Linked DNA regions of Callithrix jacchus. Each later gene encodes a partner of the first gene's protein in a complex. Links are inferred from orthologs where the notes say so. Each region holds a gene or a part of one and is shown in the gene's direction. Other genes may lie near its edges.

What was found. The genes of interacting proteins can lie anywhere in the genome.
Region 2: SMARCB1 (region 1) and PBRM1 share a complex: the UniProt entries of both Homo sapiens proteins name them as parts of the SWI/SNF-B (PBAF) chromatin remodeling complex. The link is inferred for Callithrix jacchus from reciprocal best matches to the Homo sapiens genes SMARCB1 and PBRM1.

Annotation. Positions count from the first base shown.
Region 1 is NC_133502.1:192,662,561-192,667,937, reverse strand, and holds part of SMARCB1 (SWI/SNF-related matrix-associated actin-dependent regulator of chromatin subfamily B member 1), read left to right. Parts: intron 1-1,934; coding exon 1,935-2,125; intron 2,126-5,377.
Region 2 is NC_133516.1:35,226,670-35,232,774, reverse strand, and holds the start of PBRM1 (protein polybromo-1), read left to right. Parts: upstream 1-2,620; 5' UTR 2,621-2,785; intron 2,786-2,925; exon of another isoform or gene 2,926-3,100; intron 3,101-6,105. Other genes in the region: GNL3 (guanine nucleotide-binding protein-like 3), read right to left, coding at 358-441, 935-1,048, 1,162-1,299, 1,720-1,778, 2,429-2,441. UniProt on the Homo sapiens protein: Involved in transcriptional activation and repression of select genes by chromatin remodeling (alteration of DNA-nucleosome topology). Required for the stability of the SWI/SNF chromatin remodeling complex SWI/SNF-B (PBAF).

The DNA of each region.
Region 1 (5,377 bases):
TTTGGACAGTACTGGCTGGGCATGGTGGCTCATGCCTGTAATCTTAGCACTTTGGGAGGCCGAGGTGGGCGGATCACTTGAGGTCGGGAGTTCGAGACCAGCCTGACCAACATGGAGAAACCTTGTCTCTACTAAAAATACAAAAAAACTAGCTGGGCATGGTGGCGCACGCGTATAATCCCTGCTACTTGGGAGGCTGAGGCAGGAAAAACACTTGAACCTGGGAGGCAGAGGTTACAGTGAACCAAGATCACACCACTGCGCTCCAGCCTGGGCGACAGAGCAAGACTCTGTCTCAAATCAAAACAAAACAGACAGTCCTAAGTGCTGTGAAGAAAATAGGAGAGGGGCCATGCATGGTGGCCCAAGCATATAGTCCCAGACTACTCAGGAGACCGTCAAGGGAGGATCTTTTGAGGCCAGTCCTGGCAACACACAGAGGCAGCAGAGAGCAGAGGGCTCAGCCACAGGTCTTTTCTCCATGCAGAACACTTGATGTATTGCCTGGGCCTTACAGAAACCTTGTCTCTACCAAAAAAAAAAAAAAAAATTAGCTGGACATGGTAGCGTGTGGACATGATAGTCCAAGCTACTCAGGAGGCTGGGGTGGAAGGGTCTCTTGAACCCAGGAGTTCAGGGCTTTAGTGAGTCATGATCATGCCATTGCACTCCAGTCTGGGTGACAGAGTGAGATCCTTTCTTCAAACGGGGGAGAAAATGGAGAGAAGGGTGTGGAAAGGCGCTGGTGAGAGGGGAGTTCTCCGGAGCCGGCACTTTGGCTTAGACCAGGATGCTAAGAAGAGGCTGGTCCTGCCAGGTGAGGGGAAGAACATTCTAGCAAGTGGTGGTGTTCAGGGCTCAGAGGCACAGGGCTTTATGAACATGATCGGGGATTGGGGTGCCCTCATTTCTCTAAAAGGAGGCAGAAGTCCTCAGAAGGGCTGGGCTCCGAGGCAGTGGCGAGTTCTCCATGCAACTGCCCACCCTGATCCTCGACTTCAAAGCTAAGGGCCAACAGTGAATGGGAAGGTGCACCATGGCCTCCTTGCCCCGTGGGGCACTGGACAGCAGTGAGGGATGACTCCAGCCCTACACTCTAATGGGAGGAGCTTTGCAGGCATACACAGAGGGAATGAAACTGGACCCCAGGGTCCATCCTATTCAGAACAGCCATACTTACTCAGGGGGAGCGAAGTCAAGATGGTGCTGCCTCAGTGGGGCAGGTGTAGGTGGGAGATCCTAGGGTACAGTCTGTTCTCTCTGGCTGGGTGCTGGCTTCCCAGGTGTCCACTTATGAAAAATCCCTGACTGCACATGCGGGGCCTGGGCCCTCTGGCTGTGAGTCATGTGCCGCAGGAGTCCTCTGGGGAGTGTGGGAGCAGCTGACTCAGCACTGCGCTCCCCGCAGGCTGCCCTGCTGCCTCACCATGTTGGCCCAGGGTGGAGTGCATCTGTGAATATGCTAGGCAGGGTTTTCTGAGAGGGGCAAGGTCTGTGAAGGGCATAGACTTTGGCTTAAGAGAGGGCTTAGGATTGCCTTAGCTGAACCCTGCTTGGCCAGTGTAGTCATGTAAGACCGATGGCAGCAGGAGTGAAGGGCAGAAAGGAAGGTCCCCGCCAGCATGGGGCACAGCGGGGATGGGATGAAGGTAAGGTGGGACTCAGGTGCTCCTGGGGCCACTTTGGGGCCTCTCGAGGGTGACCATGCTGGGCCCTGAAGCCAGAGCCCCTTGTGGCAGGCAGGAGGCCTGTGGGGTCAGCCCTGTTTTGGGGGTGAGGAACTGGAAGGACAAGGGCTACCTGCAGTTATCAGCTGGTGGATCCTGGTGGGCAGGGCACATCCCTGGTCTGGCAGGCTCCCCTACCCTTGTGGCCTCCCTGGGCTGGGGACAGTCCTGAAAGCTCTAACTTGTGTCCTTTGGTTGTTGCCTCAGCTGAACATCCATGTGGGAAACATTTCCCTGGTGGACCAGTTTGAGTGGGACATGTCAGAGAAGGAGAACTCACCGGAGAAGTTTGCCCTGAAGCTCTGCTCGGAGTTGGGGTTGGGTGGGGAGTTTGTCACCACCATCGCATACAGCATCCGGGGACAGCTGAGTTGGCATCAGAAGACCTACGCCTTCAGGTAGGATCATGCACGAGTCTCTCCTTCCCTCCCTCATCTCCCTGCAAAAGTGTTTTGAGAAGGACTTGTCTGTGTGAGTGGTGACGCCTTCGAGGCTTTCTCAAGCTTTGCAGCACCATCTTGCTGGGGTCTGTGTGTTTGCTCTGTCCTCCGTCACCCTGTGTGTCTCACCAGTACTCTGCTCTGCCAAGTAGGGTTGGAAGCACCTAACACAATAGCTGGCAAAGACTTGAAGCTCTGTCAGGGTGAATCTCAAGTCCTCACCTCCAGGGAGCCCTGGGCCCACCCTTGCCATCCACCATTCAGCCATCCTGCCTCACACCCTCTCTCTGCTCTTGCCCAGACTGTTATTTGGTCAGGATGGCCCCTGCCCAGGATTCTTCATCTGTTGAACTTGAATTCTATCTTAAACACAAAGGCCCGCCCCAGCTCTGGAGAGTCAGGGGTCCCCTAGCAGCTCCTTCTTACTGCAGTGTCTCTGCCTTCGGTCAGTCAGAGAGCATTTGGTGAGTACCATGCTGGACTGGACCCCATCCTGGCTGCCCTGGAAGATAGAGACAGGTCACCTTGATCCCTGCCTGTAGCATTTGGGCTGGCTGAGATGGTGGAGGTGCAGACAGAACATTCCAGTCCAGTGTCCTCTGTGCAAGGGTGGGGATGGACCCAGGGGAGGCCCTCCTGTTCCTGGTAGGAGGTAGGAGTCAGAGTTAAAAGCGAGGTCAAGGCCCACTGCGGTGACTCACACTTGCAATCCCAGCACTTTGGGGAGCTGAGGTGGATCTCCAGAACCCAGGAGTTTAAGACCAGCCTGGGAAACATGGTGAGACCCCATCTCTATATAAAAAATACCAGAATGAGCCAGGCATGTTGGCGCATGCCTGTAGTGTCAGCTACTCAGGAGGCTGAGGTGGGATCACCTGAGCTCAGTAGGTCGAGGCTGCGGTGAGCCAAGATCATGCCACTGCACTCAAGCCTGGGTAACAGGGTTGAGTCTTCAAAAAACAAAACAAAAGCAAAGCTGAGCTGTCCTGGCTCAGCAGGACTCCAGGACTGGGAAGCCCTGTGGTTCCTAACCCTGTCCTCTGTGTTGGGTTGGGGGTGCAGTGAGTATCCCTACATCAAAACAGGATGTTCAGATTTAGTCCGCTCATCAGACTATCATCATCCACATCTGCAGTCACCACGTAGGGATGACAGCTTAAAATGCTACACTGAGGAACAAATAGGAAGGTCTGTTTTGCAAAGCCATGGCAATTAATGGGGCTTATTGGGATTGCGTCTGGCTTGTTTTCCCAGACATCCCGAGAGACAGCTTTCTGTGACTTCCTGTAAATCTGAGCAAGGAAGAAGGAATGAGAGCCACCCACGAGGCTCAAGAGCCCTGGGCCTGAGAAACAGCTGGGCCCCTGCCTAAGCGCCAGTGGTTTTGAGATCCTGTGACCTGCCCCCAGCAGCCCTGCCAATCACATGGTTCTGTTTCACAGATAGGGCAGCCCTGAGAGGCGGCTGGGGGGCTGGTGTCTGATACCTCCCTCTTCCCTCTGGGTGCCGCCTGGGAATACAGCTTTAGTGTCCATTCACCCTGCATGGAGCCATGCCCTGTGGCCGGAGAGCCAGTAGGGTGGCCTCACTCCACGAGAGTTGACTCTGCGGTCCCGGGAGACAGTGATGTTGCCCACGTCGACACTGAGCACCTCCTCCCCCAGAGGCCGATCCAGTCGGAACCCTCATTCTGGGCTCGAAGGTGCGGGTGGCAGACTAGCAGCTCCCAGCATCCAGGCGCTGACGGTGTCGACCCTCACCCAGCCCTGCAGCTGCAGACAGTGCCCACAGTGTGGGCTCAGGAGCTGAATTCCCCAGGGCCTCTTGACAGGTCCTCAGAGCATTCTTTCCTTCAGCCACCATAGCACCATCCCTCCTGCTCTGAACTGAAGGTGCCCTGAGCCCAAATTCCTTGCCAAGCTCCAGGCCCTCTGCAGTTTGCAGAATGGCTTCAGAGCAGGTCCCTTGGGGAGTCCCTGGTGGTGGCAGGTCAGGACTTATAGGCAGATGCCCTCTTTATCTTAGCTACCACCTAATGAGTTCCAATTGTGGAGCTTGAAGACATCATAGACCCTGCCCGCTGTTGTCTCTCATGCTGATTGTGCAGTTTTCAAATCTTTGAGGTTGAAGGCAAGGCCACCCTGCTGAGACCAGGGTGAGCACATGTCCCCATCACAGCAGCCGGGTGGGAGGGGCTTGGGGACCTGGGAAGTGTCCTGAGTGGCCTCTTAGCATTAGGAGGGCTGCGTGTGTCTTCCCACTCCCCGCACTAGAAGACAGCTGCAAGGACAGGACAGGACAGGACAGGACCTTAGGGATGGGCTGGCTCATCCTTGACTCCAATCCACGTTCCCTCCACTGCACCACCCCACCCCATGGGATCTTAGGAGGGACTTTTTTTTTTAACTCTGTCCCCAGGGAGACGAGTGTCAGTCCTGCCTGGGGAAATGATGGGCCTCAGTTCCCTGGGCCAGGGGCCAGTCAGCCCACAGAGAGCTAGACCAGGAGTCCTGGCCTGGTCTCTGTGCCACGCACAAAGCTTGGCAACGGCTGTGTCACATGACTTCCCAAGTAGGGTTTTCAGCTAAAGGCCTAGGTGACCCCATAATGGAAGCACTCTTGATTGCCCAAGAGCCAAGCCAGTACCTCCGTCTCTCCCAGCCAGAGCCCAGTCCTGGCTGCCATACCCTCCTCCGCAATGGGGACACTGGATCCACAGCACAGTGGCGAGCTGCTGGCCATGGGACACGTGTGCTCAAGGCCACTATGCCCACGTCAGGGGAACCAGGGGAGAGAATAGGCTGCTCCCTTTGGCAGTGGGACAGACAGGAGACAAGCATGAATAGGAAACAGGGGCGTGTGACAAACTCACTCAGAAGCCCGAGGCTCCTAGAGGACAGACTGGGACCAGAATGACACAGACGCCCCAGAGCCAGTGGAATGGGATGGAGGGCCAGTGACAGGAGGAAGACGGCTTACAGGGAAGGAGCCTGGGCTAGGCGAAGCCTCTGAGGAGAGCTGCTCCTGTAGTTACTGGCACCTCCCCTGGGCCAACCCTGTGTTCCTGGCCAGGGACTAGAGGAGACAGGTTCATGTGCAGAGCCATCAGTGTGCCATCACCACAGAAAGCACTGGAGGCTGTGGGCATGAGAAAGGGCAGTGGGGGGCATAGAACTTGGGGTGAGGATAGCCAGGGCAGGTGCTGACGGG
Region 2 (6,105 bases), on another chromosome or scaffold:
TAAAAAACACAAAGTACCACTTTTGTAAATCATGCTCACGAGCAGAACCGTTTTTGTGCAAACATTTAGAAACTATTTCTGTCAGCTAAACATAGCAGGAAAGGCATTAAAAAGTACTAGCTAGAGTGGAGTCATGAAATGATTTGTGGGAGGAGGGAGACGATCAGGAAAGGTAACTAATGGGTACTAGGCTTAATACCTGGGTGGTGAAGTAATCTGTACAACCCCCATGACACATTTATCCATATAACAAACCTGCCTGCACACGTACCCTTGATCTTAAAAGGTTAAAAATAAAATGACTTCAGTCTTTTTAACCTTATTACCACTGTCAGACACTGACCTAGGCTAAGATACCTTTTTAAGTTCTTGACAATACAACTTCTTTGAATTTCGTTTGCCCGACTTGGCTTTGTTCTCAGTTTTGCAAAGCCCCAACTCCTAGGGGATAAAGGGGGGGAAAGGACACAAAATTAGAAGTATAGCAGTTGTAACCTGTATCTCCATTTTTCTACAGCTGAGAAGCAGCACTTGCAGTTGTTAAATATGTAAGACAAAGTCTGAACTCAGTTGTCTTCCTCCCAAGAAGTTCAGCAACCTGTTGATGCGCTTTTATTTCTTCATCAGAACTCATATCTTGGCCAAGCCCAACAGCCCACACCTGTAATATCAGAGCCTTTGGGAGGCTGAGATGTGTGGATAACCTGAGCTCAAGAGTTTGATACCAATACGGCAAAAGCCTGTGTCTACTAAAAAAAATTAGATTGTGTGCTCCTGTAGTCTCAGCTACTCAGAGACTGAGGTGGTAAGACTGCTTGAGCGTGGGTGGTCAAGGTTGCAGTGGGCTGTCATTGTGTGACTACAGTCAGGCCCAAGCAACAAAAACAAAATCAAAACCCCTCATCTCTCATTCATAAAAATCTAATCAGTATACCTTTTCCATAGGTTCCACATTTGATGGCTTAACATCAGGATTCGTTTCAAGTTTTCTTCTCTTTTCTAGTTCTTTCTGCCTGTCAAGTTTCTGCTGCTGTTGTAGTTCTTCAAGCTGTGTTGGAGTCATAAGAGACATAGGTGAATCGGTGACTAGTGTTGTTACCTTACTCTGAAACACATCACACATAACACACTACACTGAAAGTTCTGGCTAACATAACTTACCTGCTGTTTCCTTAGCTCAGCTTCCCTAAGAAGAGCCTCCTTAAAGGGAGCACTGTTTGGAACTCCTGGGTCTTTCCTAGGCTTCTTGTGACCCCGCTTTTTAGCCTCCTTCCTTAATTTTCGATGATGTTCTCGAACCTATAATAATAAAGAGATTTTGTTTGCTTATAAAAATATCTTTATACTTAAGCAGAATTCAAGTGAGAAACCAATCTAGCTGGAATTTAGTTATGCCTATAAAACAGCCTAGGAAAATGGGGCTTTAATTGGAATCTTACAGAGTAATGCATTCCTAAGTATAAAACAGCAAGAAAATATCATTAGAAGGCTCTCTATGTGGAAATTAACATGCTGAACAAGTTTACAGACTCATCACCAAATCACTGCTCTTTCTCACAGCCACACTTCTGATGCCCAAGAGCTGCCATGATCAGTCTATCCAATGCCATTTCCTGAAACCAAATCATATTAACCCAGACTTTCCCTTTGCAAATGAATAGGGCAAATGAATCAGTTTAGCAATGTGTTTGGTATAGCTCTCCCAACTACTACACTTACCTTTTTTTGGATTTTATACCGCTTATGGCAGGTCATGCGTTTACTGGCTTTCTTTAACTCTACAAAAAAAATAAATAATCACATCACAAATGTGTTAATGCAAATGATTAGTTCTGGGTGAACGCACTATGGAGTTATACCCTTTTTTAATGTTATTGGCTGCCAAAGCTAACGTTAAGACTAATGCGAAATGCCTAATACAGACATACATGCCCACTCTCAAATCCTAGAGAATCTGATTCAGTAGATCCAGAATGGAGTCCAAGTTCTCTGCACTTACTGTTACAATATTAGAATGGGATCATACACAGCAGCGTATGAGATCCAAAATGACAGCCACTTCGTGTAAAACAGCACGAATTCAAGAGAGGAACAGAGAGTCTGGGAGGCGATGTGTGCACCTGGCCCGGTATGCACGTGACCAGGGAAGGAAAAATATTGGGCCTGAAACCTAGCTTAAACGCTGCTTCCTTCCGAAAATCTAGCCTAGTCTTGCCCACCCTCCGCCAGGCTTCCTTCTGCAGAATGAGCCCACGCCTAGGATCGGCGTAGGGCCTTCCAAATCGGTTCTACGAGAAAACAGGGCCAAGGCCTACGCGCAGGCTCCCACCTCCATGCCCGCAGAGACCAAGCCGTAAAAGAGTGTCGTAGTGGCTGCAGCAACTACCAGACATGGGTCCCTCCACGCCCGCCTTTTGATCCCACTTACTAGGCCGCTTCATGTTGGTTGTAGAAAGTGGCGCAAGGACAACAACTTGCCTCCGCTGGCGCCACGTGTGAACTGAGGCCACCGACGAGGGTCACGTACGTACGTTCCCGCCGTAAAGTGCGTCACCGCCTCTCTGCGTGCGCGCGCACGCAGTGTCGCGCGGAGCAGGGATCACTTGGCGGCGGCGGGGCTGATTTTGCGGCGGCACCGGGAGGGGTAAGGGAGGTGAGGGCGGCGGGTGCCGGAGCGACGGCAGCGGCCACGGCCGGAGGAGCTATAGCAGCAGCCGTGGCGGCCACGGGGCGGGGCGCGGCGGTCAGTGACCGCGGCCGGGGCTGCAGGCGGCGGAGCGGCTGGGTAAGGCCGGGCCCTGGGCGGGTGGGGCCGCTCCCCCTCGCCCAGCTGCCGGGCCTTTGTGTGGGCCCGGGCGGGCGGGAGCCGCGGCGGAGGCCCCGCCCCGGCCGTGGGGAGACGCGCCGGTCGGGCCGGGCGCGCGGGGTTGGGCGGGGCGTGGCGGCGGACCTCGGGACGGGCACGGTAGCCCTGTCGCACCTGCCGGCAGGGACAAAGGCGTACTACGGCCCGGAAACTCCCCGCGCCACTCTTTCCCGCTCGTCGCGGGGCAGCTTCAAAGCTGTCAACGTTTCCCTCAGTCCCCAATACCAGTGACAGGTCGGGAAAGTCCTTCATTTCCTCGGTTGCTCAGGGCCTGCTTTTTTGTTATTGTTTCTTGACGGTTCGACACAAACTCTTAGTGATTTTCTTTCTTTATTTTTTCCGGGTATTTTGATCAATGGGACTTGTATTTATAAGTAGAGGCCAGATATTTCAGCTTCTCATCTCAACACTGCAAAGAATCCGGGATTTTGGGAACTGTATTTCTTGGTTTGGGGAAGCACAGTTTTGTTATAATAAGGGAGAAGTTTTAATTTAAAGGGGCAGAAAGAGTTGCAAAAACAGAGAAAAAAAATCTGGAAAAATAAGTACACGGTATAATGGATATAGAAATTCTTACAATTATAGAAGCGTGTGTTGGAGCAAAACATTTTAACTTAATTTCCGACACACTAGGACGCTCGACAAATAATTTCAGGGTTTTTTTTTTCCTCCCATTTGGCTATGTGCTTTTCCTCAAAAAGTGCAAATAGGACTCGTGCACGTGAAAGAGTAGCGTAATTTTTGCTTTATTACTTACAGGTTGCCCATATTTAATTTTGAGCTTCAAAATGGAAGATTGGAAAAATATGTTTTGAAGAGTTGTTTCAGATTAAAACAATAAAGAGCTTGTGTGTGGATGAATGGAAGGGGCTTGACCGCTTTCTTTGGCTTTGGGAATGTACAAAATACCTCAAATGTTAATATCCTACCAAAATTCCCAAGATAAGTACATTGTGGTATAGCTATATAATAGATTAGTATCAAGCTATCAAACATCATTAGGAAGAATGTTGACTTGGAAGAATCTTCATTAAGTTAAAACACAGGCTGTAGAATAATACATTTGGTTTGTTAGCATTTCGGTAAAATAATAACAGGTAACTAAGGCATAGATAAATACCAAAAATTGTGAATGACAACATTAAGAATGGTTTTTTTTTCTCTGAAACAGGTTTATAGTTGTTTTTTTTTTTCTTTGAGTCCTGTTTTCCAAGATTTTGTTTTAAGCATGTATTGTAGTGCTAAATATTTCTAGAAATACAGGAAAGGGCTAAAAGTTCATAAACTGTCAAAATACACCATTTGTCTATAATGTCAGTAGTCTCCCAGTTGCACATTATTAAGTATTCTTAACTGTCCACTATCAGTTATTGATTGTCAGATTTTTGAACTTGTGACTATAATCAAGGCTGTTTTAAAACTTGGAATTGAACTCTGAAATCTGTCTTTCCTCTTCATGGAAAAACAGACAAATTTGCTAAAGCGATACTTATAGTACTTTTTTTTTTTTTGGAGGTAGGATCTCACTTTGTTGCCCAGGCTAGAATGCAAGTAAAGTGATCATGGCTCACAGAAGCCTTATATACTCCTAGACTCAAGCAGTCCTCCCACGATGGCATCCCAAGTAGCTAGGATTACAGATGTGCAGCACCACACCCAGCTAATTTTTATTTTTGTAGAAACAAGGTCAATCTGTATTGTCCAATCTGGTCTTGAACTCTGCCTTAAGTGATCCTTCTGCTTCAGCCTCCCCAAGTGCTGGGATTACAGATATGAGCCCCTGTGCCTGACTCAGGCCTTTTAAACTATACAAACAAACTTCTTTTTTTAAAGGTCCCACTTAAGTGCACCTTTTTTTTTTTTGAGACAGAGTCTCACTCTGTCCCCCAGGCTGGAGTGCAGTGGTGTGATCCTTGCTCACTGCAACCTCTGCCTCCTGGGTTCAAGCAATTCTTGCACCTCACGCTCTCAAGTATCTGGGATTAATGGGCATGCACTACCTCGCCTGGCTAATTTTTTGTATTTTTAGTAGAGACGGGGGTCTCACGGTGTTGGTCAGGCTGGTCTTGAACTCCTGACCTCAGGTAATCTGCCGGCCTCGGCCTAAGTTGCTGGGATTACAGGCGTGAGCCACTGTGCCTGGTCCTAAGTGCACTTTTAACACATTAATTAAAAGATAAATTGAGCACCTAATCTATACTAAATACTATTCTATAAGACAGGGCTATAAAAATGAACAAGATGCTGCTCCTGTGCCTGGGGAACATGCAGAAGTGATTTCATGGACATCATTTCACTGTTCCAACGATCTGAGAGATACAGGAACACTTGATATTCTTTTTGTTTGAATCCGTCTCTCGCTCTGTCACTCAGACTGGACTGCAGTGGTATGATCTCGGCTCACTGCAACCTCCGCCTCCTGGGTTCAAGCGATTCTTGTGCCTTAGCCTCCTGAGTAGCTGTGTTTACAGGCATGTACCACCACACCCAGCTAATTTTTTTTTTTTTTTTTTTTTGTAGAGACAGGGTTTCACCATGTTGGCCAGGCTGGTCTTCAACCCCTGACCTCAGGTAATCCACCTGTCTCAGCTTCCCAAAGTGCTGGGATTTACCCAGCTAATTTTTTTTTTTTTTAATAGAGATAGGGTTTTACCACATTGGCTAGACTGATCTCAAACTCTTGGCCTCAAAGTGATACACTGACCTTGGCCTCCCAAAGTGCTGGGATTACAGGTATGAGCCACCATGCCTGGCATTAAGTTCTCATTTTAGAGATGAAGAAACAGATCTGAAAGGCTGTCACTCAGGCAACATCAAGCTGATAATCAGAGGTGAAAGACTTGGGACTCCTATTCTGGTCATATGAGCAAAGGTCCTGTGGTTTCTCCTACTTCATAACATTGCCCTTCTTGCCAGACTTCCAAAACACATTTTAAAATATTCCTTGGTTAAAAAAATACTTAAAAATTATCCTTAAGTTGAATATTTTTCTCAAGTATCTGGGATTACCTTAATTTCTTTATGAATCACGGATTTTGGGATATTGTATCATCTAAACTACATACATATGGTGGTAATTTATGTTTTCTTTTGTCATTTGATTTTCAGTGAATTATTTATAAAAGTAATTTTGAACTCCTGACAAAATGGTTGGCTTTTTTTTTTTAAACCTTGTCAAATTTTTATATGGTATCTCCAGTGCAGCTAGGACTTTGGAAATAAATGTTCTTTCTCTGAAT